2 linked regions of the Drosophila melanogaster genome follow. The protein of the gene in region 1 binds, or shares a complex with, the protein of each later gene. Each region holds a gene or a part of one and is shown on either strand. Other genes may lie near its edges.

The links.
Region 2: Vps8 (region 1) and car share a complex: the UniProt entries of both Drosophila melanogaster proteins name them as parts of the class C core vacuole/endosome tethering (CORVET) complex.

What each region holds. Positions count from the first base shown.
Region 1 is NT_037436.4:6,493,698-6,509,360, forward strand, and holds the start of Vps8 (vacuolar protein sorting 8), read right to left. Parts: upstream 1,601-15,663; 5' UTR 1,494-1,600; coding exon 1,392-1,493; intron 1,325-1,391; coding exon 17-1,324; intron 1-16. UniProt on the Drosophila melanogaster protein: Part of the class C core vacuole/endosome tethering (CORVET) complex involved in endo-lysosomal vesicle trafficking and lysosome biogenesis by facilitating docking and fusion of endosomal vesicles.
Region 2 is NC_004354.4:19,552,142-19,567,804, reverse strand, and holds the start of car (carnation), read right to left. Parts: upstream 1,787-15,663; 5' UTR 1,679-1,786; intron 1,623-1,678; exon of another isoform or gene 1,591-1,622; 5' UTR 1,464-1,590; coding exon 21-1,463; intron 1-20. Other genes in the region: Grip84 (Gamma-tubulin ring protein 84), read left to right, coding at 2,336-2,391, 2,498-3,032, 3,113-3,619, 3,687-4,729, 4,792-5,113, 5,296-5,394, 6,010-6,228. UniProt on the Drosophila melanogaster protein: Core component of the class C core vacuole/endosome tethering (CORVET) and the homotypic fusion and vacuole protein sorting (HOPS) tethering complexes involved in endo-lysosomal vesicle trafficking and lysosome biogenesis.

The sequences.
Region 1 (15,663 bases):
ACAGTTTTGATCTTACCAGGAAGCTTATTCTCTCTGACCAAGTTCTAACTCCAATTATATGCAGGGACCTGGCGCCTAAAACGTACAACTGGGTTCCTCTTGAAACCACTGAGTTATAACAGGCATTTGAGCCGGCTAAAGCGAAGGCAGGTGACACATTTCCGCCAGTGGCTAGTCCTTTAAACTGCGCTGATCCGTAGACCAGTCCTGCGTTGGCCATATCCATACATTCTAGTTCCTTACTGGATCGCACATCCACAAGATGAAGTATTTCCGCCGTGTCCAATGAGGCAACACACTTTGGTCCCAGCCAGTGAGCGGAGAGGAGACTCCCCTGCAGCTGGACATGTCGAAGGTATAAAAGCGTTATTCGTCCGTTCGAGACAAACAGTTGGTGAAAGAATAATTGATTCCCGCGGCCCACGACAATCACGGGGTCCACGGAGCGGGAAGTATCTGCCGCTTGAATGAGTACTAAATGCCAGGCGAGGAGAGGTAAGCAATCAGGAGGTCCCTGAAGCACGTGGTATTTGATGACCCTTAATCTTGGTCGGACAGTGACGATAAAATACTTGGATAACGTTGCCAGAGCCACAATGCAGTACTGATCCAATTCATGGCGTCCTTGGGAGTCCATTATTAGAGGTTCCACGGCGCAGACCTCTCCGCGAGCGCCGGAGAAGAGGCATCTCGATTGGCAGCCACGGATGCCCAGCTTCCGGGTGAAACTAAGAGACCACACCGATCCGCCGGCATCGGCACACAAGGCCAGTGATGATCTCGAGGTCCACTTGACATGCAGTACGCCGGTGTTTGGGGTTATGACGTCGAACAGCTCACGGAGAACATCACCCGTATGAGTGTCCAGCATGGCAACCAATCCCCTAGAAAAACCAGCCAAAAGTCGCGTTGAATCCGCATTGAAAGCCAAACTGGCCACCGCACCCTGACCATGCTTGTCCTGATGGGCCCACCTAAGGGTTTGGGTTACATCGAAGTTCAAAATGTGTCCATGCGATGTTCCGATGGCTATGAATGCGGCCACGGCACAGGAACTGGCTGCTCCGGCATTGACACGTTCCGCCGCTGAGGAAAGTTGTGCCGAGATGCCGTGTAGGAGGGTGTACCTCATTATGGATCCTCCACCACCTCTGCCGTCTGTTCTGATCGTGGAATCCTCACCAATCGAGGGCGTGGGCGTGGCATGGGGCACCGGCATTCCAAACTCGGAGGCCACATCCGAATCCGCCTCAAATTCACTGAGCACCGCCTCCAAAGTAGGCAGCACATCGGTGGGCGGTATTGCAAACTCGGCATCATCAAGCTATAATTGGATGAATCAAGATAAAGTGTTATCTAGGCCATTCCATTTTCGGGTAATCCCAACTCACATCTTCGAAGTCCAGCTGCAGGGATTCGGCCAGTAGGCTGTCTGTGGATCCTCGCTCCGATTCCAGCAGAGATTGCAGCGACGGGGCCTTAAGCTCCGACATGCTCCCGGTTCTTTCAATCCTGATCCCTCCCCCAAACTAATAATTTTAAGTGATTTTGTTTTTATCAATGAGTTTCTACGCCCATCAAAGGACTGCCCACTCGTTTGCATAACAGATGTCTTTCGGTTGCTTATCGGTTTCTGTTATCGATGATTTTATATAAAAACTTAATTTAATTGGACAAATAACAGAGGTAAAGATAAATTTTAAATTCTGAGGAAGGCGTATATTTGTTTTTGTTCCTTTAAGAAGCAGGAATTTTAAATTATTCATTTAGAAATAAGCTTATAACTGGAAACAGTCTACAACTTAATGGGAGTATAAAATTTAATGTTAAGTTCAACAAAGTTAAAAATTTAATATCGAAAATTTAAAAACTTATCGAGTGAGAGGACCAATCGACTACTCGACTTAGCAAACATCGAAATATCGCAGGTTGGACCTCACATCGCCATCTGTTCCATCGCTAGTTCATCTTTGTTTTCATCGCGTTCGGTTCAGTGCAGCGGACGATTTTGCTGCTCGCGAGGCCAGCAGATATTAATTAAAATGCAATAAAGTGTGTTCCGAGCCATTTGAATAATCGCGTAACCAAAAACAATGCGCGGCGCACTAGATTATTAATCGGATTCGCTTATCTGCCAGTTGCAGCAGCCCGTGATTGCGGGCCAAGAGCAAAACGCGAGTGGAAATTTCGATTATTGTATTGTTTGTTGCCATGCATAAGACACTTGTGCAAAATGGGCATTAGCAGACACTAACGAATAGTACTAAACAATGGCGCAGTGATTGGGACACGAAATATAAATAAAATATTTGTTTATTTGAGCGTGCGGCGCTTTGCCAAATTAATCGCTCTCTTTCTGGCATTTCCACTCTCTTCTTTACGCGCCTTTCATTCAGTCGCGCGTATGTGTGCGGGTGTGCGTGCGTGTGTGTATGAGCCAGTGACGTAAACAAATGCACAAAAGCGAATGAGTGCAAGAATTTGAAAAATGCGATTGTCGATTCACGTGCCAAAAAAAAGTAACAACAAACGGGAGCAGCAGGCAGAGAACAACTCAGGCAGCAACAAATTGACATAACGTTATTGTTTTCGGTCCTCTGTTTTGTGCACCGCATTCGCTGTATTTTCACCAGCTCAGCTGTGCAATTTCGCCTTGGTGTTGGTGAGCGCAACACGTTTGTGTTCGAGTGGGAGAGATACATAGCAAGAGAGCTAACGTAAACTCCTCTGCCAGCGTCGCTGCTGAAGTCGGCGTCGGCAGCGTGCGTCATTGATGTGCGACAGGTAAGAAGACGCCGCGCTCCAAATATACCCAATTTCCCAAATTACCATAGTTAATTACTTACATAGACGAATATGAAACCAAAACTTATCAATTAGGCGGCAGGGCGGCACCTTTCGCAGGTAATTTTCCCAAACGCACACATTCCTACATACGTAAATAAAGCTCTCATGCAGCTTCGTTTACGTTTTTCGAGATAAGGCAAACGAGTTAATGACACTCGCGGAGCAAAGCATTCTTGCACACGCTGCGTCTCCTCTTTCTCGCTCCCTCCTCTTCCCATTCCGACTTCCCTCGCACCCCCTCTTGACGCGTTCATCACGCTCTTGGCCCCAACTTGTCGATCGGAAATCGCTGGACATTGTTTGTTGGTCTGGTCGCCGCCAGTCGCGCTAGTCGCCAATCGCCCGTCGCGCTAGTTTTTCCACATTTGTCATACACTAACCATAACGAAGGAGTTACCTGGATTTCTGGCTCAAAGGGTACCGAATATTTATAATGGGTTCCTTGGAAAGGTTAATATATTTCTCGGGTCTTTCAGTAAAAGGGATCTCAACCCGAAAATCATTATATTTGTTCTTAAAATAAAGCAGTTTTTTATTTTCCGTAAACTGATATACTGAAAGAGAATTGAAAAACGGCTTAATATATTCATTTATTCATTCATTTAACCTAGTAATATTTTTAAAAGCATTCATATTTATGGCTCACAGCAGATTTCTGTTTATGATTGTCATTTAAGATACTTTATCTCGGATCCAATAACACTTGCAATGCAGATTTGTTTTATTTTGTACTATATGAAACATCGTTTACCCTTAAGAATTTTAATTTGACTTTAAGTGTTCCTTGATGAGTTTTATAAGATAAGATTATTCACTATACTTTTCTAGCCATTTTGGTGCGTTTATTGAACTTAAACGCAGACAAATAAATTTCTGTATAACGTTAAGGTTGTTATTTAAAAGTTGTTGTAGGTGCCATCGAATACATTCAGATTAAATAGACCGGAATAAGGCGATAAGCTCATTTGTCATAATGCCTTATCATTATACATAAATTATTAGACTACGAAACTAACGAACGAACAGCCATTTATTTACTTGATTTCGGGATTAAAAACCAGGCATGTATTTGAATCAATTGAAATTTAATGGGAATTTCGAATGGGTTCTTGAACCAAATAAGATTTCTCGAGAGAGCATACCATATTTGTGGGGCCTTCTCTTGCCCCTAATCGTTTGTGTTTATTATTGTTGACCATGCGCTTTTTGTTCCTTTTTCCCCCTTAGGTTTCAGGTTCTGGCCTTTTATTTTCCGCTCGCTCTGTGTGTTTGTCGTTCATGGTCACAAAATTTATTGGTCAACATTTTATCTTGGCCCCGGCACCCACGTCGACTCCTTTTCCAGCTTTGCAACTTGTTTGCTTCTCGGTCCACCTATTTCTTTCTTCGTTTTTTTTTTTTTTTTTTGTCTTGGCCATTCTCTGGACGGCCGGCCGGCCGCCCACATGGAAATTTAACGCTTCAACACGTTCGGATTTTTCCCAAAAAGAAATCGGAGGAAGCAGCGAATAAAAAAAATATTCGAGAGCACGGCGCTCAAAACAAATATTTTCAAGATAAGTTATGGGCATATAGCTTGGGTTCAGTTTCTCCAGCTATGAAATGTTTAATGGGAAATGGGAAATATCTTAATTTTTATAAACTTGGCGGCGCACATAAATTATCGGTGCGGAATTATTGCGGCTTTCATGGTTTTTCTTTTTTTTTCCCCGCTGCCTTTTTTTTTTCGTTTGTCTGGCGCATACTTTTCGTGACTTTCCGCTTTTTTGTTTATCTTGAGGCGATTGTTGTTTATCTTGATGCCTCTCAGATATTTTCGGCTATCGGTCCCGCGCCCCCGCTACCTTTTCCCATCCATTTTTCCCATATATCGTATATGGAGCATATAGCATATAGCCACAGCTAGCAAATTGGCAATTGCAGCTGCTGCTGGTGGTGGTGGTGCATAACTCAGCAGGCCCTTCAGGCATTAACCCTTTGTTGCCCACATGATAAACGATAGCTTGTTAATAAATCACAAGCCAAATGTGTGTGAGTTTGTGTGCTTCTGCTGGGTCTATCTGTCCTGGATGGTCAGGACATGCTGAAAAAGTAGTAACAAGGTTGCCTGCGTTATTTCATGCACTGAAAAGTATAATCTTTCTTATTGATATTTAGACAAAATGAAAAACAAAAAGCAATAGAAATACAAGAAATAACCTTTTTTAAAATACAGAAGTAGTAAAGTAAAATGAATGTACAATTAATCCTTTACAACAGAACAACCAATAAATACCCCCGTTAATATAGGATGTATTAATTATTTCTCTCGGTGTGCTCCCGGGCTGCATGCCCCGGGTTGTATGCAACTTGATTGGCTCTGCTCTCAGCACAGGATACTCGTATTTCATATGCCGTTGCTAGATTTATGAAGTGCCGTACTGAGTTCCTTGCCGAGCCAAGTCCTTAGCTGAATCCTTTGCTATTGCCTGTGCCTCGGCTGCCATTGGCATTCTAATAATTTTTTATTGTTGTCGTTTAAGTGGCCCATTGTACAGCTGGCAACATATTGTGTGCTTGCTGCAACATCGTCCTGCCACTTGATAACAGTAGGTGCTTTCCATCCATCGGGCCATCCCTCATGCTTTTTGCTTGATTTTGGCGTTTGCCATAAAACCAGTTGTCCAATTCTGCATTCTTGGCCTGCAACACGAGTGCTTCATCGAGTGACTCTCTGATAGAATACGTTTATAATTAGACATTTGGGATTAGTTGGGTTTTGTGTGTGAAACCGGAAGAACTGCTTTTATGGCCACGTCTTCTCGAGCGAGTGATTATTGTCAATAATTTTAGTTAATTAAGCTCGAGTGAGGAATTTGTCTGGCTTTTGTGTAGTTAAAATGAAGTTTCAACGTTCTTTGCGAATAAATATTTCAACAGGAATGTTTAATAATGTTAAAATGTATTTTCTGTATAAATCACATTGTCTGATTTGTTTGACTCATATCAAGTCAAGTCATATGTCATGTAATGACAATTTAATCATTTTGTTACGAATTTGTTTATTGTATTCTCTTCATTGTTATGATGACTCCGTTTCCAATAAAAATATAATTAATCATAAATATATATCAACAGTATTTATTTTAATGTAAGTCTAATAAGGTTCCAAGAATTGTGCTTATTCGCAAATAGGGTTCCCTCTTGCTTCCAAGAAATTATACATTTATGTATTCCAGTTCAAAACGTTCTTAGATTTTTAGAGAACTGTTAGTTGCATGTTTCAAACCAGTTTTCTATTTAATTCCCCGCCTGCTGGAGCTGCTAAGCCGATCTAGGACTTAATCTGTACCATTCTTCACGGCAATCTATTATGTCTAAATTTCAGCTCACGCCTTTCTGCTGCTTACGCCCGTCTGACAAATCTCGTTTGATGCGGCTTAGGATGATGATGCATTGAGTGTCCCAGTTTCCTTCGGCTTCCTCTCCAGCTCCTCCATCTTCTCCAGCCAGCCAGCCAGCCATTCAAGAGGCATCCGTTCATATTTCTTTCATGCTCGCCCAGCATTCAGAGTCAGATTCAGATTCAGTTTGAGATTCAGATGGATGCTCAGTGCATTCGGCTTAGCTATTATTCCGTGCCCGCTGACAATCATAGAGCCCCCAAAGCATAGAGCTAGCACAGAAAAAGTGGGGGCCAAGTGGGGATCTGGCGAGATGTGCAGGAGGAGCATGGCTCAGATGAAGATGAAGGGGCTTCTTAATAAATGATTTGCTGCATGGCAGTCTGTGGGAGTCCTTGTTTAGCTGCTTTTGTTTTTTTTTTCTCCTCGCTGATGATTATGATTTGCCGCCGGGACGAAAGCAAAATGCCAAATAAGCCGCCTGAAAAAGGTCGAGAGGGTCCGTTTGCTAACAGAATTTGCATCTGCGTTGCCAGCCAGGGTCTACGATACTCAGACTTATGTACGAAAGGATTATATATACGCTTATTATTCGGGTACATATGTATGTACATCTAAGCCCGCATTTGGATTGATTTCGCATCGAACTCGTGTTATTTTACCCTGTATTTTCTTTTTGTGGCCCCTGCTAATTAGCAGGTTCTGCTATGCGAGATTTGTCCGGGATTCGCTGTTGGCTTGCTGGGACCAACTGTGTTAATGACTATGCTAATAATGCCTTTTGTTTGTTGTTATTGGATGCCGTGCAACACCGCATGCAACACCGCTGCAGCTGCCGCAGTTGGTGGCAGGATTACCAATAAAAACCGGCAAAGTGCTTGGCCAATTCAATTTATGGAATGTATTTGGTCTCTAAATTTCGCAGAATTTTCGGTAATTGGGCAACCTGCGAGATTTGTAGCTTTTCAATTTCTATTGTTTTTACAATGGAATTTATAGTGGCGGCGGGTTCGTTTGAAATGTAATAATTTGCATGTCAAGTTGTAATAGGTTGTGTGTTTTATATTCTTCTTTTATTCAATGGGGTTTTGTTCCCAAAAACTATACCATCCCTTGTATTCTCTTTATGAACTAATAGATTTTCTGTGCAACTCAAGCTGCCTCATTCGCTGCAGCTCAGTGTAAGCTGCTTTGCAGCTATCATTTCTTGTTGGTTTTTTTTTTAACCTTATTTAGTGCAGTAAATGTTTCTGTCAGTGAGGTTTTCTAGCACTTGGGGCAGCTGGTGGTGAAGTTTTCGGTTGCAAGTCCCCTTTACTTATTGTTCTCCATTAGGAAGAGCTTTGCACCAGCTATTTCACATTTCCCATTCGCTTTCCTTTTTCCTTTGCCCTTTATCTCCGACTCAGTGGCTCTCTGTTTGTGTTTTAAAATTTTAAACGTTGCAAATGTTTTGCAACATTTCGACGGCTTTACCAGCTGTGTGCTACTAGTATTCCACTTTTTTTTATATATATAGGTTGTACGATTGCAGTTCGCTGGCCGCTTTTGTTGCTTTAGTTGTTGTCGTTATTTGGCCAACACACGCTCCGAATTCCACTTATACACACACACACGCGCATCGCAGCTGGCCACACAATGCGGCTGCCTTTGGCCATTTTTCGCACACATTTTTCAAACTCGAAGGCTTTTCTCGCGCCCTGCGCTTTTCCGTTTTTGTTTGGCGGCGCCCTTTTTTGCTTTCCGCAAAGTATGATGTGCATGTGCCTTTGTATTGTTGTTAAACAACAAATTGTACACCGCGTTAAACCAGGAAAAGCTGAATAAAATAAAAACCAAGAAATTAGGATACTCGTTTAGCGGCCCGCAGTTTGGGATACACTTGAAAATATTTTTGTTATATTTTTGGGGGTGGTAAACATATCAGCAATTTTCGACTGTATGGAATTTCTTAAGTATTCTAAACTCATATTTGTAATAACGTATATTGGTTTTGCTTTTTAATTTGATATCTTTAGCTCTACTCTTATAAGTTATAAGTTTAAAATTTACATATTTGATATTATTTATATTTCTGTCATTTTTTTTCGGTGCATTGTAAACTTGTAGGCAAAAAATATGACAGAGCAAGCTGTAAAGTCTGGCGTTTTTTTGTTTATGGGGGCGTGGCATCCAAAGCTTATCCCGCTTACCGCTTATGAATGCTGCGGGCGCTGCTTCTTCCTTGTCCATTTATTGTTTCCCTTATTTTTGCATATTTTTTATGTTTATGCGTTATTCTTGTACGTCACACACGCACGCATGGCTCTCTGCTGATTGCTTTGTTCCGGCGCTTAAGCGTTATGTACGTACGTAATATATAGTATATATACTAAACATCTGCATGGCATCATTCACAACTTGCTGTTAAATTAATACACTCGAATCGAATTGAAATGAGTGAGTGAATGAGAGTGAGCGAAGTTTTACGAAAACGAGGGTTTCACAGAATAAAACATTGAATGACTAAAATTCTTCTCGAAATCTGATATTTGCATCGAAATTTGGACTGCAAATACATATTATTAAATTGTTTTTGATGCTTGTGACTTTTATGCAACTCAACAAATTAGTGTAGAGTTTAGCAATCACGGTCGTCAAACAATCAAAGTTAGCAATGAATGAAATGAATAAATGGTCAACAACGGGGAAAAAGAATATAAAAAAATCAAATTACAGCTTAACAAAATTACATTTTAATTTCATGTTGGTCGTGTTCCCTGCAACATTGCTGCGTTTGAAGTGTGGGAAAATTGGGTAGATTTTGAGCGTTTTTCCAGGGGGGGCGTTGCGAGGTGTTATGGTCCAACATTTTCGCGCATTTAGCTGTCGTCGACGTCCCGTCCAGTTGGAAAGTTTTTTGTTTTGTATACCTTTGACAGAACGGAAAATGAAACGTTTCCAAAAGCCACGACGCTGCCAGGATAAAGGATAAAGTGTGCGTGACATGTCCACGTCCGCCACTCCAGGCCCCCCTCGACCAACTATATCCTTTCCTATATATATATATATATATATATATATATATATATATTCGCCGCTTTTGTGTCCACAGCCCTGTTCATTTATGTGACTCCGTTTTTAGTTGCTAAAACTTTGCTCTAAGCTGCCGTTTTTGTGTGCATTGATGGGTCGGAATGGGAAAATCGAGCTTTGGAGGAGTATAAATAGGGAGCATGGATTAGGATTTGCAAAAGGGAGCAATTGCTAGTTTTGGGTGGGTGGCGGCGGCAGTAAGGCAATCGAAATGGATGGCATAAAGTCAATTTGTAAAATGGTGCGCCGGTTTGGTTGGTCATCAATGGACTGGAAAGTTCGTACCGGATATGGACAGAAAGAGATATTAGTTTATCTGCCGGATTGTTGGGACAGATTTATCTATGGCAATTTGCGTGAGTTACAAAGTGGATATTTCGTAGTTCGATTACGGTGATTGAAAATTTGGATTTGGTCGCTGTTGCATAGAGGATTGTCTTCCAATAACATATAAAGAGTTACAAATATTTAAAAATAAATACTACTATATTTTTTTAATTATTTAAAATATACTAATTAAATTCACTTCTCTGCTATTCCGAAAACCGCTCAACTTTTAAATGCACTTAGATCTGGTTTGCTGTCAAAGTTTTGTTTTCCCATTGCACAATGCATTGCTCCTGTTTCCTTTGCCTTCCTATGTGTACTCATTACTGTTCGTTAATTGCATATTTGAAATGCCCAAAAGATCACAATCATTTAGCCGTACACGTGCCTCAATTACAAATTCCCCAAGGTGCAGCTTCGTCCTTTCCTCCCTCTCTTTCGCGCACAATCAACACAATCACAGGCTTCTACACTCACACATCCTTGCATAGATCCCTTGTTGACCCGCTCCTATATATGGATGCCGGTTCAATTGGTCCGTTCCTTTTTAAAACGCATTGACTCGTTTTAAGTGTAATAGAGTTGCCTGACAGCCACATACACATGCACAGACACAGACATAGATACAGATACGCCAGATACTCACGCACACAGCCGCAGTGTTGGCCCATGCAAATGGCAGAAGCGAAAATCTATAGCAATCATCGAAAAGCCAAAAGCAACTACAGGTCAACTTCTGTAAGGCGAACGCCTATTTTGCTAACTAATTTGCAAGAACACAAGCACTAATAGAATTAGCAATAAATACCAATCATAAAATCATGTTTCATCAATGAAGGATTCAAAATCTCTAAAGTTTACCACGTTTTTGGAGATTTTCGATCCGATTTAGCCAAGTTAGACTGCCGAACAATAGCGGCCCAAACAAACCTTGCACCCGAAAATTTACAACAATAAAAAGCGTTTTAACACACACAAAGCTCTTGAACCCTGGCAAAACTGCAATGCGACAAGAGCTGAGCTGCAGTTGAACAAGGCTAGAGGGGGAGGGATAGATGGGCACTGACAAAGAGTGAAAAAGAGGGCGATAGAGAGTATGGACCAGTGCGGACCATGGTCCAAAAGCGTTCGAACTTTGAATCCTTGACAAGCTCAAAAAAATTGGACGCTTCATGAGTGCAAAACGGAGGAAGGGCTGGGCGAAGTAGGAGGACGGGAACAGAGCTGATAGATTGTAATCCTTGTGTGCTGCTTTCAATTGGCTCCTGCTGCCGCTCCAGCTTCGCCCGGCACTTGTGCCCCAAACCTACTGGCAAGCCCCCTCGAATCCGCCCCAGAGCATCCATACTGTCAATTGGCTTTGTGTGTTCGAGAGAAACCAACACGAGAGTGCGAAACTGATGGGGTTTGCTGCTGGGGGGGACAATTGGGAAAAGTTGAGCAGGACAAGGACAGTGGTGAACCCATGGCTGTCCCTGTATGTGTTAATTTAGTTTTGTTGTCGTCGGGACAGGCTGTCCAGAAACAATTGAAACAATAACGAGACAACAAGGACAACCAGCTTGCGGAGATTCGCTGGGATAATTTAACCAAAGCGGTCAGTTTAATTACATTAGCTATGGATGAGCTTTAAATGACTTTATAACAGAAAATTTTGAACAATATAATATTTTAAAGAAAATAACAAACTTCATTACCGAAACTAAATACTATTTCGTAGTAATTTATTTCCATTTTTCCAATTTTATTACAGATTGAAGCTGTCGATTTGAGTAGCAATTTCGAAACATGTAAGATGATATCCAAATTTTATCCAGTAATGAAATCATATGTATATCCATAATTTTCTTCAAAGAACCTAATACTTGTTGCATGTTTCGTGCTAATTTGTTGACATATTTTTTCCACTGTACGTCTTATTGAAGCAAACGAAAGCTTTCAATGTAATTTGCTTTTAACCCCCAGAAGTCGACAGCCTTGTAAGCCGCAAAATGCGTTTTTTGTTGCCATTTAGCATTTGATTAATTGCCAGACAGCTCGGAATAATGATAATGTCTCGGCCTCTGTCCTTGTCCGTGTCCTTTTTGCGAGGTCTGGCAACCCCGAGCGGGTCCTAAAAAGACCCTTTAACGTTAACCTGCCCTCAAGGCGTTTTGGGGGTTGAATTGTAAAAGATTTTGTGCATAAGGGGATGCATGGGTTGGGGGTAAGTAGGCGTCGGCTATTTCGTTAACAATAAATAACGCTTGAGACAGGCCCGAGGGTTTTTGTTTTGCCAGAGCGAAACCCCTCGAGTGCCACCGACGACGAGATGGGATGAGGTTGGGGAAAACGACGAGGTCCTTTGATCTGATGCCATGGATGGCGAAGGAAAACGTGCGAAAACGCTTTAGCTCGGCTACGGAAAAGAGCCGGATTGATGTGGCGTCTAGTGGCGTCTACCTTGTTTGCTTTTCATAATGAATGCGGCTTGAGTCAAAAGGAAAAATAAGCCAACGGGGGAGTGAAATTCTGCTTGGTTCGGGAACTCGTCGGGGAACTGTGCAAAAAAAAAAAACAGGATACAGGATACACACATCACGGCGTATCCTGTGCTGTCCTGGCAAGTTTATTGATCAAATATCGCATGTCACTATCCAAAAGCACACACAACGACACACAAAATGGTCGGGAAAACCACAGGGGAAAGGATACAGTTGGTTGGATACGAAGAGAACCCATTATCCTCTGCCGCCCAACCATAAATGCCAACTAAAAATGTCATTTAAATTGTCGTTATGTCCTGTTTACTGTTCTCTGTCATTTGGCCAACTTTCCCGTCCTGTATCAGCGTTTTGTTTTCCACGCTTTCGGCCGTCATCATCATCAACGTCAGGGGCAAAAACTTTCTGGCTTTTTACGGTCTCCTCGCTAACCGCAGGCTCCAACTGAAAATAAACCCAGAGAACATTAAAAACGACAAAAATGAATTGGCGCAAATTATATATACGCATTAAATATAAAACAAAAAGAAAAAACACAGTAACGAAAATAAAGTGTGGGCCAAATATTTCAGTGGCAAATCAAAAATTTGTAAGTACACCAGCGGGGGATGATGGTTTGACCCGCGGAATGAAGAAAGCACAACGAAATAATCCTCGGAAGTCGCACAGTGGTGAGGTGGCAAAAGAAGATGCGAAAATTTAATCTGCGTAAACTTTTAATTAATGCGGCAATATTAAGGGATAAGCTCAGTGATGAAATTTGACTGATGAATAAATACATTTATATTCATTAAGTTGAGTTTACACTGAAGTCAGATTTGGAAAGTAGGTGTTTGTATGGTACTGGAATGTGTTGAAATAAATGTTTATATACATGTATGTATAAATAAATATGCTCTTTAGTTTATAATTTATAAAATTGTTTTAAACTTCCAGTTTCATTCTTGTATAAGTTTTTAGTTAATCAAACTAGGATCTGTTCACTTTTAATACATGTATATCATTTATCTTTATCATTCTTAATTTAATCATAAATCATAATATATATATCCTTGTTTTTCGACCCAGTGTCTATATCAGCAGAGCCCAACTGTGGCATCTAAAAGTGCATTAAAAAGTTTTATTGTTGTTTTTTTGTCCGCCCAAGCGTGCGTCGGCCATATTTGTTTGGCTTCCGTTTCCGCCGCAGAAGTCGTGCTCGTCCTCGTCATCTTTCTTTTCTCTGGCCCTCTCTTTTTTGCCACCAACGGAAGTTGGCACATTAAAAAGTGCTTTGGATCCCTTGCGCTCCGCAGCTCGGGAATATCCTGGGGGCGGTAGCTTAAGAAGCGAGGGGGAGTGGCAGCGAGAGGCGGCGAGTATATAAACAACAACATCATCATCCGGCGCGTCCTTTGTGGTCATCAGCTGTTGCAAGGTGTTAAGAGCCAACATGCCGCATGCCCCACAATGACCCTCATTAAGTTAATGGTCAGTGCTCATCTCTGTTTTTCTCGGAATGTTTGAGCAAAATTCATTTAAAAATTATTAATTTTCTGCTTGTGGAAAATGAATTTTATGTTGTTTGATGGCCTTTTTTTTTTTGTTATGCCGTTGTGGTCTGGTCTTTGGGCTCCAATTAGAAAATCAATACGCTGCACTTTGACACAAGTTAATTCAATTTGTCGCCGGCAGCCAAATGTAATTAATGGTTTCGTTTGGTTCGGTTTGCTTTTTGGCAGCAGCTGCCTAATGAGTTGAAATTGTCCCATAAAAAGCTTGGGAAAAGTTTTTTCAGTTAGCATTAATGGGGGGCAATAACTGACAGATTGCGTTGCCTTTCGCTTGATTTATTTTAACTGACATTTAAATGTTTTTTGATACGAATTTAATTTTTATGTTTGCTTAAATGTCACAAACGGAATAATTAATTTGTTTTTACCGAAATAATTACTCTGTTTACGGTAGGCCAATTCGAAATATTCGGAACTTTAATGTATCTCGATGCTTTATTTATCATTGAAGATATTTTTATTATTTTTTATCATTTGTAGCTACAATTTTTATTAGCTACCAAAAAATGCACAAAGCATAATGGAGACAATGCATAATTGCATCATCGAATCACATCAATCAAGTGGTGGAATCTGTTGTTAAGACCACTTGATGTTTATCAACATGGCCATTAACTCGCTGATCCTAATAAGCCTTGTTATGTGTCATTGTGCCCACTTCAGTCTGATTGTTATGGTGATTACCATCACCATCACGAAGATCTCTGCGCAGGCAACACTGCGTATGTGTAACGTGGCTAATACCAACCACAGACAGCTCAAAGACACCAACAAAACTAGCCGACATTTGGTGTGCTTTTTATGGGGTCGAGACAACAAAACAGCAAAAAGTGGCACAACATCTCTAATATGAGAGTTTTATTTTATTACATTTTATTACACATAAGTTGGCAACAAAATGCGTTAACGCACACAGACTCACCGACACACAGACGGCAGTCCGCAAGGATTCTCTGATAGACAGTTTCCATTGAGGCGGAGTTGGCAGTTTAGAGCACGTAGAACGTATCTCCGTTTCCGCAGATAAACGCGCTCGTATCTGTGTGAATGGGCTGTGGCATCTGTGTGGGTGTTTCCTTTTAACAAAATGTTTTGATTTCCATGGGAAGGCAGGACGCTGCTAGTCAGCTCCAACTAATCTGTTATCCTCGAGCTGAGTTTCCTTTTTTTTTTCCTACGGAGGTCGTTCTTCTGTCCCTCCGTGTGTACGTTGGTTTTTGCTTTTTCAATTCATTTTATTTATCGGAGCATGAAAGACGCCCCACAGATACAGACAGATTCAGATACAAATACAAATCAGTAGATAATAAAGGAGCACAAAAAGCGGACAACCAAATCAAAATGAGAAATCGCCACCTTATACCATTTTCGGGTGCAAAATGCGACTATCTAAAAGGCAACATTAGAGTAACAGGGGGTGGGGTTTATATATTATCTGCTCTAAATAAATGGGAATGCTGTGCACTTAAAGAAAAGTAGATTAGGTTTATTACTCTTTTCTCAAAGAGTCTTAGAACTAAAAAGATATTTTTAAAATGTGGTTATCTATTGTTTTTCTATTTTTACACTTTTCTATACAAATCCTCTACTCTGTAGATGTGATAGAAAGATAGTGGGGATATACCGTACAAAATTTCTGGCATAACAAACAGACTTTAATCAACAAAATACGAGGAACACTCAGAGCAGCTGTACACACATCCTTGGGTTTATCTTTGAAATCGAAGCCGGCCTTCCACTCCCATTTGGCCTAATTGATATTCATTTTATGCATGGCTCTCGGCCTGGCCAATGGTTCTGTTTACGAAATATGGCTGCATTTCGGCCAGCTCAGTCGCCTCCTCATATGTATCCTCATCAATTTTGGCCCAGACTAATTAAGATTGTGTTGGAGCTGGCTGCTCCTTGGGGTTTTACTTTTGTCATAGTATACTTTTCAGCGCCAGACTAATTAGTCAGTGCAGATGAAGTTGTTGGGACGGCAAATTGAGTTGG
Region 2 (15,663 bases), on another chromosome or scaffold:
ATTACTGAATTGGCGCTCACCTTTCGCAGAACGCTGTAAGCCCGCGACTCTGTTTGCAGATGGAGCAGGCCCGATTTCTCCAGGTTGCTGATGGTGAGCAGCACTTCCAGACCGTACACATGGACCAGTTCGCGCTTGTAGTGGTTAAGCAGCTTCTCCTTGAATCCGGAGGCGGCGTGGCACTGCATGCAGATGAGCCGCAGGACGCGATTCAACTCCACCCTGCAGGCAATCAGGTCCTCGATGTAGGCGCTTGGCTTGTCGATATCTGCGCAGACCATGAACTCCTGCTCGGCAGCCAGGTCGTCAGCGAAGCGCACCGCGTTCACCTGTTCGTGCAGGAGGCCAGCGATGGCCGTATGCTCAGAGGTGGCCTTCTTCTGGGCCATTAGCTGCGGCAGGAGGTTCTCGACGAAGCTCTTGATCTCCTGCACGCTCTTGTCCTGGGAGGTGGCGTGCATCTGGACGTGAATTTCCCGTGCCTTGCGAGCGAGCAGCTTGGTGACCTCGTTGAAGTGCTTGTTCCGCAGCTCCGCGTACAACTGCTCGCCGGAGTGCAGTAGGATGGTCTTTTTCTCGGTGTCACCCAGCAGCGACTGCGATTCCTCGACTCGTGGGCCACTGCCTCCGCCTCCGGGAAGGGCTCCGTCAGAGGGAAAGTTCTCGGCGGGCAGCGTCAGTTTGTTCTGCCGGATGCCGTAGAACTCATCGATAAGCCCCTCGTAGGTGAGTTGTGTGGCCAGCGGGCTGAGCAGATCGATGCTTCTGTCCAGAAGGATCAACTGATCGACGACACCCTTGTCGCCGTTGTACAGAGTCCGCTCATCCCGGCCCAGCTGCTTGGCGTGCTCCCATACCCTGTGCGCAAACTCTCCTTTTCCGTAGATCTTCGGAATGCGACCGTATAGACGCTGCAGCTGCACTAGGCCCACTGCCGCCTGATACAGCGAGCTAGTGTCACCGTCCACACTCACATCGCGGAAGGCATTGGGCATCTCCATCGATACCAGGTCGACATCCAGCGGCAGATAGTTCCAGGCCAGTTCCTCGATGTTTCCGAAGCTGCCCAACACGCCGCTGACCTCCAGTTGGCTGACGCACAGACATGACCGCCTCGGGGCGAACAGGATGTGGTACTGCCGTCCAGCGGCCGCTCTTCCGCCTGCCTTCACGTGGGCGGCCAGCTGCTCCATCAGCGCCACGCGTGGGCGCATCACGTACACCACATTGGCCACCTCGCGCGGCAAATGAAGCTCCGGCTTGAGGGCCAGCAGACGGATGCCTCGATCAGCGAATAACTTTGGCCGGGTAACCAAGTCCAGCGGTCCGATCATGGTCTCGTCCAGCACAATAACCTTGGAACCCTCAATGCGGTCCAGCTGCTGCAGCAGCTCGCGGCAGGCGGCCTCCTGCAGCAACTGCAGGTTGACCCGCTGACCATGGCCCTTCAAGTGGGGGAACATGCTCCTTTCCTCTTGCCAGAAGTGTTGATTCGTATGCTCTGCGGCTTCCGGTCGGTCGCTACCGTGTCCTTGGTGGGCGGTTTGTGCAGTGCGTTGGTGGTGTTGGTGCAACGCCCACGGATTTCGGCTGCAGAAGATCAGGGACGCGACTGTAATCGCTGCAAAGCAGCTGATTTGGACTGCGCCTGCGCTCAGCAGTGCGGTCTTACACTTACCCTTATGGCACGGTCACACTGTCCGCTGCTCTATGGGCCATTCACACTATCACTTGCCTGCAATTTAAAATCAAAACAGTTGCCAGATATAAATTTTGTTGATTAAACAAGAATATAAAGTTAAGATAGAATAAAATAATAGAGGAGTAGTTTCAATTATTTAATCTGTGGGTAGAAAGTATTTCTTATTTATTTTTTATGTACAGCTTTTTTCATTTAACAAAATTTGTATTTTTTCAATGCTTTGCACGCTTTAACGCAAATAAGTTACAGTAGTGGCCAGTCCAGTGTAAACTATGCTAAACGCACCCCTCTTTTTCGCCAGCAACCAGTGTCACCACATCCTCACAATTAAATACCAACAAATGCCAATTTGCATCAAGTTGCTTGTGCTGCTCATTTCAGTTTAAATTGATTCCGAAATTGCTGCAAGCGCGTAAAATAAAATGAGCATCTGCGATTTTAAAACGGCTAAGGATTGAAAAAAAAACTAGAACATTACAAGGACAGATGACAACCCTGTCGCTGCAGTCGGCACTCAAGCAACCCGGAAAAGAACAACAAAATATTGAGAAGAGCGGCGCACTCAAAAAGAGCTCAATTGCCGGTTATAACTGTAAATTGAGAAGCGCGGAACTATAAATTGCCATCTCCGTGATGAGTAAACCCCATGCGCTGCGCGGTGTGCTCGCCAATTTGATCAGCGAGTCGCAGTAAGTGGATTGAGTGCACAGGTGGCCAGTCGATCTAGCCGTTGCTCCTGCACCGCCTCTTTCCCGCCATTGGCACCATAGTTTACTGTCATTTTTTATCCCACAGATCGCCCCTAACTCCGGAGAGCATCATTCGGGAGTTTCGGGCCACTAGTGATCGGCGGCTGCCAGCCTGCGATCTGATCAAAGTCCTGGTGTCCATCAGCGAGAAGCGTCCCAACTTCGCAGAGGTGACCAAGGAGATCTCGCACATTCTGCAGAATAAGGATCCCATGTACGCACTGCTGGTGTTCGTCGAGCGATACAGCGAATGCAAACCAGTCTCCGAGAGCAGCAGTTCCACTAGCCTTTCAGCGATGGGCTTGCCGCACGGAAACAAGACTTCGGATGTTAATTCCGCAGCCGGTTCAGTCCCCACCACATTGGCAATCGCAAGCACCTCGACAATCTTAACCACATCGCAAAACGTATCTGGTTCCACCAGGCTTAGCTTGACCCAGTCCCAGGACTTTCCCACCTCGACGCCGGTGAATTGCAAAAAGGCCACTGAATCCGACACTACACCCGTAGTCTTTGTCAGGCGCGGCCCAATGGACCGTAACCGTGGAGCGGGCAAGGATGAGCGCAACGACTTAAGTGTGGTGAGTGCAGACTAAGTATGGTGTGCTGTTCGCTGCCAATTACTTGGCCCCTTCAAATAATCAATGATCAACCCACACAGATCAAGGAACGTGTGCTTAATGCCGTTTCCGATCAATCCTTGAGCGGCTACCGCTCGGTGACCAACAAAACGGGCAACAGCCCAAAGTCAATGCCGAATGACCTGGTGACGCTAACTGATGTGCCCGATGAGTACCGCACCCATTTACTGTGGGAATACTACAAGGTGGACGGGGACAAGGTGCCGAGGGCAGAGATCGCGGCAATGCCGCTTCTCAGCCAGGAGAGTATGCTGCTCGACGAGCTGCTGCACTGCCTCACGGGCATAAGAGAAAGCCTCCTGGTGCCTCAGAAGCCAATTATTTCTGCCGTTGGCCTGGCCAAATACGACACGGACTTTGACATACACACGCACCTCGATCGCTCGCTGACACACCAGGTGCGGGAAATCTTGCCATTGGCCTCCTACTTCATGGGCGTGCAGAAGATAATCGCGGCTACCGACGGCCTGGGTCAGGTGATGAACTCATTGAATGAGGCACTGCAGGAACTTACACACGACTTCTATGTAAGGATGTGCAATCGTGTCGTGGCAAAATTTTTCCCTAACTAATCTTTTTTTCCACCGAGCCTAGCTGATAATCGTACAAGCCGAACAGGAGCTGCGCCACAATAGATTAACATTGCAGAAACTACTGTACTACCTGCAGCCGACGATGTGGGTGATGCATGAGGTCTGGTCCTCGTTGGTGATCATTCAGCTAAGCGATTCACGGGATGCCGAAGTGTTGACGTATTTACACGAGCGGATCAAGCGGCTGGAAGGCAACAAAGATGCACAACAGCTGATTATCGGACTGGTGCGCAAGGCGGCCAAGCCGTACATGCGAATGCTGCAGATGTGGATCCAGAAGGGCGTGATCGTGGACCGCCACCGGGAATTTCTCGTAGTGGACAACGAAGTGATCCATCGCGACGAGCTGCCCGAGCACTATTCCGACGATTATTGGGAGAGACGGTATACCTTGCGCGACGAACAAATACCATCGTTTCTGGCAAAGTATTCGGATAAGATCCTGCGCACCGGCAAGTATCTCAATGTGATCAGACAGTGTGGCAAGCGCGTAATGCCCACGCAAGAGATGAACCTAGAGTTCGACCCGACCAGCGAGCGGCACGTGTCCGTCATCAACGACGCTTACTACTTTGCCGCCCGCATGCTGCTGGATGTGCTGCTAACGGAGAACGACCTGATGGGTCACCTACAGTCGGTGAAGCGTTACTTGCTGCTCAACCAAGGCGACTTCACCATGCAGTTCATGGACGCCTGCGAGGACGAGCTGACGAAGAACGTGGACCACGTGTTGCCCATGACGCTAGAGAACCTGCTGGGACTAACGCTTCGCATTTCCTCGGCGCGTAATGATCCCTACAAAGACGATCTGCACTGCGAGCTGCTGCCCTACGACCTGGTCACGCAAATGTCCAAGATCATGAAGAAGGAGGAGAACTGGCAGGCACAGCCTCGCCTCGATCTTAGCGGCCTCGAGTGCTTCGCTTTCACCTACGAGGTGAAGTGGCCCTGCTCTTTGGTGCTGAATCACATTTCCATCTCCAAGTACCAAATGCTCTTTCGACAGCTCTTCTACTGCAAGCACGTGGAGCGCCAACTGTGCAAGTGGGTTCCCGATCCTTAACCTTTTATGCCCACGATCATTTAAGTTCTTCTCTCGCAAACAGGATTTGGAAGGAAAACTCGATTGCCAGGCAGTTCGAGCCGCAGGCGGCTAGTCTCTATCGAGCGGCGTTCACTCTGCGCCAGCGTATGATGAATGCCATCCAGAACCTGGAGTACTACATGATGATCGAGATCATCGAGCCCAACTGGCACATTTTCATTGAAAAGATGAAGACGGTGGAGAACGTGGATAACGTTCTGCGTCTCCACCAGGACTTCCTCGACTCGTGCCTTAAGAACTGCATGCTGACCGAGTCGTCGCATCTGAATCGTTCGATCTTCAAGCTCTGCAAGATCTGCCTGAAGTACTGCGAGTTCATCCAGGTGAGTTCCAGTTACAGTGCGAGGGTACCGGGTGGCTAAATTGCTAAATTTTTGCGTACAACCCTTCTTCCTTTGCTCTGTGCTTCGTGCTCCGTGCTCCGTGCTCTTAATGCTCTATGTCTATCCCGCTTGCCAACGCTTCCAACTCTATGTGGAATCCTTGCTAATCCCCACCTTCGCAGATCACGCAGCGTTACTTTCAGGACGCTGAGCTCAGGTCGATGGTACGTGATAGCGCGGACAGCTCCGAATCCGAACAGGAGAGCCTGCACTGCCCACAGGTATTGCGTAGGCTTGTGCTCAACCACGTTGTTCCTTGCGGTTCCTGTGTTCTCGCTCCCACTTTCGTTATCGGTGGACCCATTTCCGTTTTGTGTCCAGCTGGATTGCATAATGGCGTGGCCCCGATTTTGATAGCATTGTTTCTTTTATTTCGAATTTGGATTGCATGCTTTAAGTTATTTTTGATTGGCTTGCCTATGCATTAGGCCATTTGCTTTCTTTTGTTTTTAAAACCTTAAATGCATCTTCTGGTATCATTAAATTACTAATGCAGAAATAATCTACAATAAGTAGATTATTATTAAGTTTTCCCTGATTATTATTCCTTCTTAATGAATCTACTTACAAAACGTAGTATTGTTTGGAAAAAATGTTTTGAAATTCAGTTAAAACAATTTGTGTAAGACCAACTTAAGCGGTTAATCTATATATTTTATATACTTATTTTTATATTTTATATACTTATACTTTTGTGTATACGGATGCCACAAAATTAGCCTGAGTTCGGGAAGAATTTGTATATACATAAGAATTCCCCCCAAATTCAGTGTATTTGTGACATCCTCACATGTATGTTCCAGTGATTAACTTGTGATTTCTTTGTCCCCTGCTAGATTGAGACCCCGTTGGATCCGACAGATACGTTTTCGGAGCGGGTTAGGCGCTTTGATCTGGAATTTACCCAACTGCTGATATCGTTCCTCAAGCAGATCAACAGCATGGCGAAGAAGAACACCGCCGATTGCTTCATGAATCTGGTGCACCGCATCAACTTCAATGCCTTCTACACCGATCAAATGGACAAGATGTGTGTAGAGGATGCCATTGGCTAAGCCAGCACGTCTAGAGGAAAGGATGTGGATGTGGATGTGGATGTGGACGTGGAAACGGAAACGGAAAAGACAAGAACAAAGTATTAGATAAATGAATTTCATAATCACAAGCGCACATTTACCATCATTCCCCACGCATGTCTTCTCATTTGCCATCCAACAAAGCGCACCAATTGTTACCCGTTTAGTTATACAAATTCGAATATGTATGAACCAATAAACCAATTAAAATGTCCTTCGCTGCTGCCGTTTGCGTTCACACAACTGCAATTTACGGCACTGGACACGATTTTCGATTGCAACGTAAGCCAGTGGCGTAGATTGCAGATTGTGCCGCCAACCAAGATATTGTACTTCGTCGTCAACCAGGTCATCCGCGATAAGCTTGGCCACTCTGTTTAGAAATGCACAAATATCCTAGGTAGCTCTCACCACTGGTTTATACATCGAATCAGAATGATAGCTGAGATCTTGGTTTCCAGGATGTTCATCATCGTTTGCTCCTGCTACGGGGTTTGCGGTTTTCCCCCATCCTGAAGCCTTTCATATACGAAGCTTATGTCGTTGGTATTTGGCCAGTTCTTAATTTAAGCTAGCCACTTGGATTTTTGGAGTGGAAGCAAATGCAAGCAAGAAACCATCCAGAATTTTAACCAAATTTGATGTTAGTAAACTCGTGATGGGCATCAATGTGGTAGCTACGCTGTAAAGTAGGCAACAAATATATTGTTCCCTGCGAAGAGAGCATTATTTTACTAAAGATCAGTATGAGAACGAAGAACTATTGTTAAGTATGATAAAGAGTGCAAGAACATCTATAAATATTATGTGCATGTATATATGTGTATTCAATGGTTTAATATACATATGTATGTATATTGCGAATTTAGTATGCCCTGATTTAGTTTCAAGTTCGCACTGCGATTAAGCATGAACTCGAAATCTGAGCTCTAAAATATTATTGACTGCTTTTAAGTATAAAGTATATGCTATATATAATCTGGCATAAATAACAAGTTGTGCTGCATTCGCTTTAATCGCATTTTTCTCAGCGCCCATTTCCCTTAGTCGCAATATGGCGAGTGGAATTTTCCTGGTTTTTCATCGTTGTCCGATGGTTTCTCCGCTTTGGAGCCACCGACTGTCCAGGAGCACACATGGCATAAATATACATATATGTATATATATGTACATACATATGTACGAGCCGATACACACCCACAAAAGCCAATTTCTAGGCATTTGTATGTGGGTGCAAGTGACCACCCCCCCCCCCCCCCCATCAACCACTTTTGTACATACATATATATGCATATAGATGTATATACATACATACATACCCTGCTATATGTATCATCTGCAAATATTGGAGTATATAAATATGCAGTCGCCAGTGGATGTGGGTTCGTTTGTATGTTCGCCATTAGCCGTCATCAATGTCCAACGGTCATCTCTATAACATCTCCGTCACTCCACCACCCATCACCCACCATCCAGGCTCCCAAACTCCCAGCACCCGGATAGACCACCCTACGCCCACAACTCCACAAGCAATTGGCAATTTAAGCTCGCATGAATTATCGACAATCAATTATGGTTTTTGGCCATGTCGCTCTCCGGGCTCCATCCTCGTCTATCCTTTTCCTGCGAATGGTCTCGGCAATCGGACTACTGGACTGCTGGACATTTGGCCAGCCGGATAGCCAGATAGCCAGATAGCCAGATAGCCAGATGGCCAGATGGCCAGTGCCACATAGCCATATATATGTATGCCCATCGACTGTGTGCGATTGTGCGCGCCTATATATGTATGTATGTTAATTAATCAAAAGCCCATCTATCCATCGATTCGGCATTTACAGACATATGCAAATGAAAGGCGCACAAGCAGCTCATTAATGTGCGCAGAAAAGCCCCCAATAACAAATTCGCTAATAACAATAATAACGGTGACGAAACATGTCGCTTTAAAAACAAAGCCTCCACTCGCATTGCATTTTCCCCAAAAATCATCGAAGTCAACTTTTTCCATTCGACCATGTGAATAAACTATCTCATTATCTTTAACTCCTTTTAGTGATAGTCGTCGCATTCGACGAACACTCTCCCGGTGCGCTTCGTCACTACGTGGATAGACGTTTCGTTTGCTTGCTGGTTTTACAAACGCAGCAATTTTTTAATTGCATTATTACTCTTCCGATCTTATATTGTGTTAGAAAAAAAGTATTTTAAGTTAAGAAAAGTGTTAGCAATAAGTTTTAAATAAAGTTTGCGGTTTTAGATAATAATCTAATTGAATATCCAAGGCAAAGTTATGCTGAAATCAAATGAAAATTTAAATGAATATCTGATCTGAGTATAGGGTATCTGATAGGGAAGGCACTCGCGCACTTTAAGTTTATAGTTGTATGTATTGCAGTTTTTTGTTGCTATATGAAATCTTAGTTGTAGTTTCGTACAAAACATGATTTAGACAACGTGAATATCTCATCAGATTTCGAACACTGAAGATGTGATATTCGAGTTATCTAAAGCATACCTTGTTTGTTGATTCGTTGTGTTGGGATTCCCCGGCGCGATGTTGTTAGGTGCAGTGCACCGGCATTGATGATAACTAATCCAATGTTGAGAACTAATCCATTGGAGATGGCCTCACCAATGCCGCGGCACTGCATGGCGATGCCCACCACCGCCGTTGCAGACATTCCAGTGCATCCGTCGATCCTCGAATTCTGTGAAATCTCTGAGTGCAAACGACTCCCACATCTGTACCGGATGCAAAACACATACAGGATGTAGGAAGTGTTTAAAATCAAAAATTCAATATTGCCAATTGGATAACTTGGTGGTCCGCACTTTCGTATTCTCCGCTTTTAGTTGTTCATTTTTCGGTACTTGAGTGCTAAATATGTTGAACATGCATGAACATGTGCAATATATTTAGTACTCCAGTGCCGACAAGTACATACATATATAGGTTGTCAATGTCCTGGAAACTTTTTGCCATAATACCAAGACTTCTCCTATTCTAGATATTCTAAAAAAACAATAATAATAAGTGTATAATATAATGGGCAGCATGATGTTCGTGTTATTTTTCGTTTCGTTGTTCATTTTTCGGTACTTGAGTGCTAAATATGTTGAACATGCATGAACATGTGCAATATATTTAGTACTCCAGTGCCGACAAGTTTGTTGTCACACAGCTCAATGTCCTGGAAACTTTTTGCACGAATACCAAGATTCTAGATATTCTGAAATCATTCAAAAATATCATTCGTATAATACATATAGAATGTATAATATAATGGGCAGGACGAGGCTTGAGCTTATTCAATTACAAGGCCATTCAGCAGGACGGATGTGCCTGGCTCGACACATCGCCCATCCGTTCATCCGTTCGTCCTTCTTCCATCCGCCACTCTAGCAATCCACCAGCTCCATCTCCAGCTTCCACATGACACGTGTCCTTGGACAATGGGCCGCACTACAAGCGACCCACTTAGAAGGAATCCCGCCCCCCAAAAGACCAACGCCCCTCCCCCTCCCCCTACCAAAATCAAGGTATCCGTTAATTAGGCAATACAATATACAATATGCTCTAATTTTGGACTCTAAAATGCGATAGCTTTCAATCAGCTCAAGTCTCAGTTGATACTAAATAGTTTCCTAGTTCGATTAGATGTATTTCTTTGAATATTAACTAGTTTTGGCTTAAATATAGAAGCAACACCCATTTCAAAGAGTAGATTTCCATTTAATGAAACCACTAAATTATAAAATTTGAAGGCCATCTTTAATTCGATTCCATTTTCTTAAGAAAAAAAGCCCAATGAAAGTATTTGTATGTTTACCACTCAAAATGAAGTATGTACCTTCTTGGATCCCCACGGTATCTTCAAATAATCTGACTTATCCGGTTAACTTGGTCGAGTGCTTTTTAAAGGGAAGGGGGGGGGGGGGGGATCGAAAACAAATGAAATGATTGCATTGAATAAGTTTAATAGATTTTGCCACTCAAAGCATGACCCATATACACGTGAACCCGGAAAATCAGACAGACACTTTCCACAATCCCGAACAATCCCAATGAAAATTGGCGAACTTTATTCGCATGTTGTGGGCGTGGCACTCTTTTTTTTTTATACTTTTTGTGTGAGCTTGGTGGGGCGGATTTCTGGTTGGACCAAGTGCATGAGGTGGTTAGTGCCGAAAATTCCGTGCGAAATTAGGAAGCTTCAGGAAAAAAGAGGAGGTGACGAAATTAGCGAACACAGCCGCACACGTGACACGGTTTTTGACTTCTTTTGACTCCTTGACTGCTCCTGTTGCTGTTTGTTTGCTGTTGGCCAAGTGGAGGCACGTGTCGCAGCAAATTGGGTGATGTCCTGCTCGTCCTGTTCGTCCTGGAGGGCCAATGGCCGGGGGCAAGGCCGCTGGCGATGGTCGGGGGTTGCGGATATATGGATGCGGATGTGTGTGCGGATACGGACGTGAATGTCATCCGCATGCCGCCAAACAAAGGCATTGCGCTGACGTCTACGCACGCAACCACACCCACAGCAAGGAGGCGAACGCCCAAAGGACCAGGTCGACACACCACACCTGCCTCGCAGCTCCGAAAAACGGCTGCCCGGTTTCCGGGGCGAGCCTAGCTCCTTCTCGGTGTCCAAACAATGCCAGCACAACAAGCATTTCGCCAGCAAGTGGCAGCACTCATCGGATGGAGTCGCCAGTTGGATTCCCTCTTTGCAGCGATTGCGAAATGGTGAGCATTAATATGTGTACTTAAGTACGTTATAACTTTATACGGGAATTTCTAAAGTCACAGCTAATAATTGAGCTATAATTTTAAGAGATATCCAAATCTATAGGTAGATTAAGTGTAGAATGTGTGAAAACTATTTCAAATCACACCGTTTTGGAATGTATTCAAGCAAATTCACACTTGATAATTAGTACAAATTAAATTGAAAACTTGCTTAGTAGATTTGTAACCATAACTACTGTTTATGTTCCAAAAACTGTTCAAAAGTATGCTGCAAAAATGGAATTTTAAATTTAAATACAGCTAAAAAAAACATCGTTTCTTCAAGTGCAAAGTATACAATTAACCCAACCAAACTGACTTAATTTGCCACTCGCAGGAGTTCCGCCGACAAAGAAAAGGGGAATGGACATGCAACTGGCTTTTGCCCGTGGAAGTGGGCAGGAGGAGCTGACAGGAGGGTGGGCAGGGAGTGGAACACATGTGCAAATTGATTTCGAATTTTTGTGGCATAATTCCACAATTCATTTGATCTTCATTTGGCTGTTATCGCAGTGACTCTTTGTTGTTCCTGCCGTTCGAATCGACTCGCCTGGCTAGAATGGTTGTTACAATTTCACAATTGCTTGCCATCCGACGCTCCGAGAGGCACATCCCAGGACGAGTCCTTGCCTACTCGAATTACCAGCACATTGACATCGACACATTAGGGCAAGTGCAGGCGGAATCGGAATCGGCAATGGGAACGAAGGCGAAAATCTCAGGGAGGAGGGATTCAAATGGGAATGGATTCGATAGGCAATGGCAATGGCAATGGCAATGGCATTGGCGGCGGGTGGAATCGGACAAAGTGAAGCAGTGAGTGGAGTGAAGCAACCACCACCACAGAGTGAGCAGGCGAGGCACTGGAGATTTCATCCGCTGGCCCTGATTCACGCAGTTGTCCATCAGGCCGTCCTCGCTTATCCTGGTTGCTCCCAAGTCGCAGCTCCTTCCCCTTCGGTGCGACAAATGTGCGCTTTAGAGCGACACCCCGAGGTGTTGGCTATCGCAGTCACTTGAGAGGATGACTTCATCCGGCAAGGTCCTGGTCCTGGTCACATCGCGCATCTCCTGTGCATCTCCATCCCTCCTATCGTACGAATGCGTCGGCGCCTCATCGCCAAATCGAGCATATGCGCACTTGGATTAGGACGAAGTGCGGAGTGCCTATTTGAGGATTTGACTTCTCCAATTGCAAATGCCCTTTGAATTCTCGGATTTTTTGTTTCTGGTTATGCACTCATGCATCCGGAAAACTACGCCAACTTGGCTGTCTACATTAATCCTAGCTTAGAATGTGAAACTTTGCACTACTTACAGACAATAAGTGTACAAATAGTAATAATAGTTATTTCCTACAATTAAGTGTTACTTTGTTTTTAGTGGAAAATATGGAAAATAGTGAATGGTAAAAGTTTTAATTTAACATGATTGCTTTTAAAAGAAGCTATGTTCATTTTCCCATTCTCTTTAACCACAATTTGCATTGGTCGCTGAGTAATGAAATATTATTTAAGGGTTAAATCAAGAATAAGGTTTCTAATTAATATAATATAAATATAAAAAACTTTAAAAATAGGCAGAATAGAAACGGACAAACATGCGGACAAAGCTATACGGACGGACAAAGATCGCTTTCCTGTATACTTTATACTTTACTTTTTATACTTTATGTATAGTATACCCTTTGGAAGGGCTTACACTCAGAGAAAAGCTAGTTCTCAACGATCTCGATATGAGCATTACGATCTTAAAATCTAGCAAAGATTGAATCATAATTCAGCTTTCTCTCTCATTTTTTGAGCCATCCCTTCACTTCTATCTTCCCGAATTAGATCGTTTTCTTCTCATCCGAATGATTGATGCCACTGTTCCCAATTTTTCTGAGTGTAAAACCACAATACTACTATTTCCTTTGAGAACAAGTGTAATTCACTGTTGATACATATACTTGCAGTCGCAATCTCCAAATGCTCATGTGTAATGTTGATCTTATAAGGAAATATCTATATCTATCTATATAGATATCTATCTATCTATCTATATCTCGATCAGCGCAACTGAAGGTCGGCTGTGTTGACAGGCGAATTGTAGAGATGTGGATGGAAACATCTCAATTGAAATCGGACGTGTAGTGCACTTGTGCAGGACCACCGGGAGTGCCGCCACCCCCTTTTGGCCAAGTTGCCACCCCATCGAGACGAGGACGCAGGAGGACCAGGATGCGGATGAGGATGAGGGTGAGGTTCAACTGCCCGTGTGCTGAGTTTCATTTGAAATTATTTAGGCAATAATTACTATTGTGTCTTATGCTTACATTTTGCCATTCTGCCACAACGAGGCGATGGCGAAGTGGTTCGCATTCGGATTCAGATTCAGATTCACATGCGGATGCGGATTCGGATTCGGGTTCGGTTTTGGGTGTGGGTATGGTTGTGAATGTGGATGGGGGGTGTGGGTGTGGGTTCCACGCCCATCCCATCGACGTCGTCACCCTCTTGACTTAATGAGGCCTTTTTGTGCTCTTGATGGATTTTAAATTGTTGTCATCATCGCTATTTGTTTGCTGGTGCTGGTGCGTTGGCAAATTGTTCGAGGGGTGAGCAATCGCAGGGGATGAGGTTTGGATTGGTATGGAATGGAATGGGTTGTGTGTTGGTTGGTTTCGATGGTTTCGTAAGACTTGGGGTGGGGTAAAAGGCTTGGCTAATCCTGCTAGTTGGATTGCGGTCGCCGGCACTGCTAAGCGGATACGGATGATGATAATGATGATGAGCCGTATGCGGATGCCAATGCGGATGCACTGCTTTGTCCGGGTCAGGCTTTTCACTTTTCACTTTTCACACTCAAAGCGTCTTATACGCACCTTTATCTCTGGCCATTGTTCAGTCAGGATGTGCCTTCATATCCGACCATTCAAATGGATCGCCAATGGACTTCAAATGGATTGAAATGGACTGGATTGGACTGCTCAAAAAAATCAAGTAAAATCAAGTAATCAAGTAAAGCGAATTAAGTAATCATGTGTGCTTGAATACATAAATAGTATAAATAGAATGCCATCTCTTTTAGATTTTAGATTGATGATTTAAAGTTCAGCTGTTGATGCTTAGAAAATATGATAAGATAGCTATGAAACATCTTTTGCTGAATAACAATTGATTGGTATAACAATTAATGTTGAATGTGCATGTAAATAAATATAATATATATATATAATATATAATATATGAATATTGGCTCATATTTATTGATATTCGGCAACAATTAATTGAATCTAATGGGCAAGTTTCTAGCTTACACACAAAATTTGCCATTGATTCTGCTTCAAAGCTTCGCCAAAAATTGTAATTAATTGAATATTGTGAGCATATCGGACGGTTAACAAGCGCTGTTAAAGGACTCAAGTTATCGCAATAAATAGACCCTTTAAATTGCTTATCAGGCTCTTAAAAGCTTTTGTCTCCGCACCCGGTGGCCATTAAAGATTTAGCAACCTGTCGTCTCATTGACTTCACCGCAGTGCTGCAAACTGGCGACCATCCATCCATCCATCCGTCCATCCATCCGTCCATCCATCAGCTATTCGTCCGTTCTCGCCTGCGTTCACGCATGGTCAGCCTTTTCGAAGGAGCAAGGACCAAGGACGAAGGCGCTGGTGGATGTGGATGAGGATGAGGATAAGGATGACGATGGAACGGGGAACGGGACATCATGAGCCGGAAATGCGAAGAGGCCGCATGCTATCGCCCCTTTTCAGTTGCAAATTACATTCAAATTATACGATTTTGATAAGAGGGACATTCAAAAGTTTCCAATTTCAAGTTGTGCCGCTCTTCAAGTGCGCCGCATAGTCCCCCCCCCACCCCCCCGCCTTCTTCGTCCTTTCTCGTCCTTTTACCGCCCGAGTCCTGCGTGCCGTCAAAAAAGTTCTCGCTAAACTTGTCACAAAGTGTGCGTGTGCGAGCGGGATGCAAGGGCACAGCGAGCACAGCACGATGCGGATCGAGATGCGGACGCGAGTGCGGATGCGGATGCGGATGCGAATGCGGAATTGCAAAGGCAAAGGCAAAGGCAAAGGCAAAGGCAGCAGGCACAAAAAGTTGACATATGTGCGCCCCGAGCACTTTTCCGGAAACAGCAGGGCGACATTTTTTCCATTTCCACCTTCTTCCATCCGGCGACTTGCCCATGCCCATCCCACCTCTCCCCACCCCCCCGCACTTCGCGCTCTATATGTGTATCCTTATTTTATTTTTTATTTTTTTTTTTCTTTATTTTTACTTTTCATTTTTGCGATGAGTTTTGAGTATATCTTCAGCATCAAGGGACATTCACTTGATTTCTGTTGCGACTACATGATAAACATGTTCTTGTTGTTGTTGTTGTTGTATGTAGTTTTTGATGTATCTCGAAATTGGTATGGTATGACTGGGAAATGTGTGGAGAGTCGCAACGGAGGCGGAGCAACCAAGCCAAAACCCACCCATGCATCCAATCCAATCCCCGCCATTTTGCACATGTACAAAGGCCAAATGGGGATTTTGATATTTCTCTAATACGTGAAAATGCAAAGTGAAATTGAATTTCTTAAAATGATGCCAATTAAATCGAAAGATTTGAAT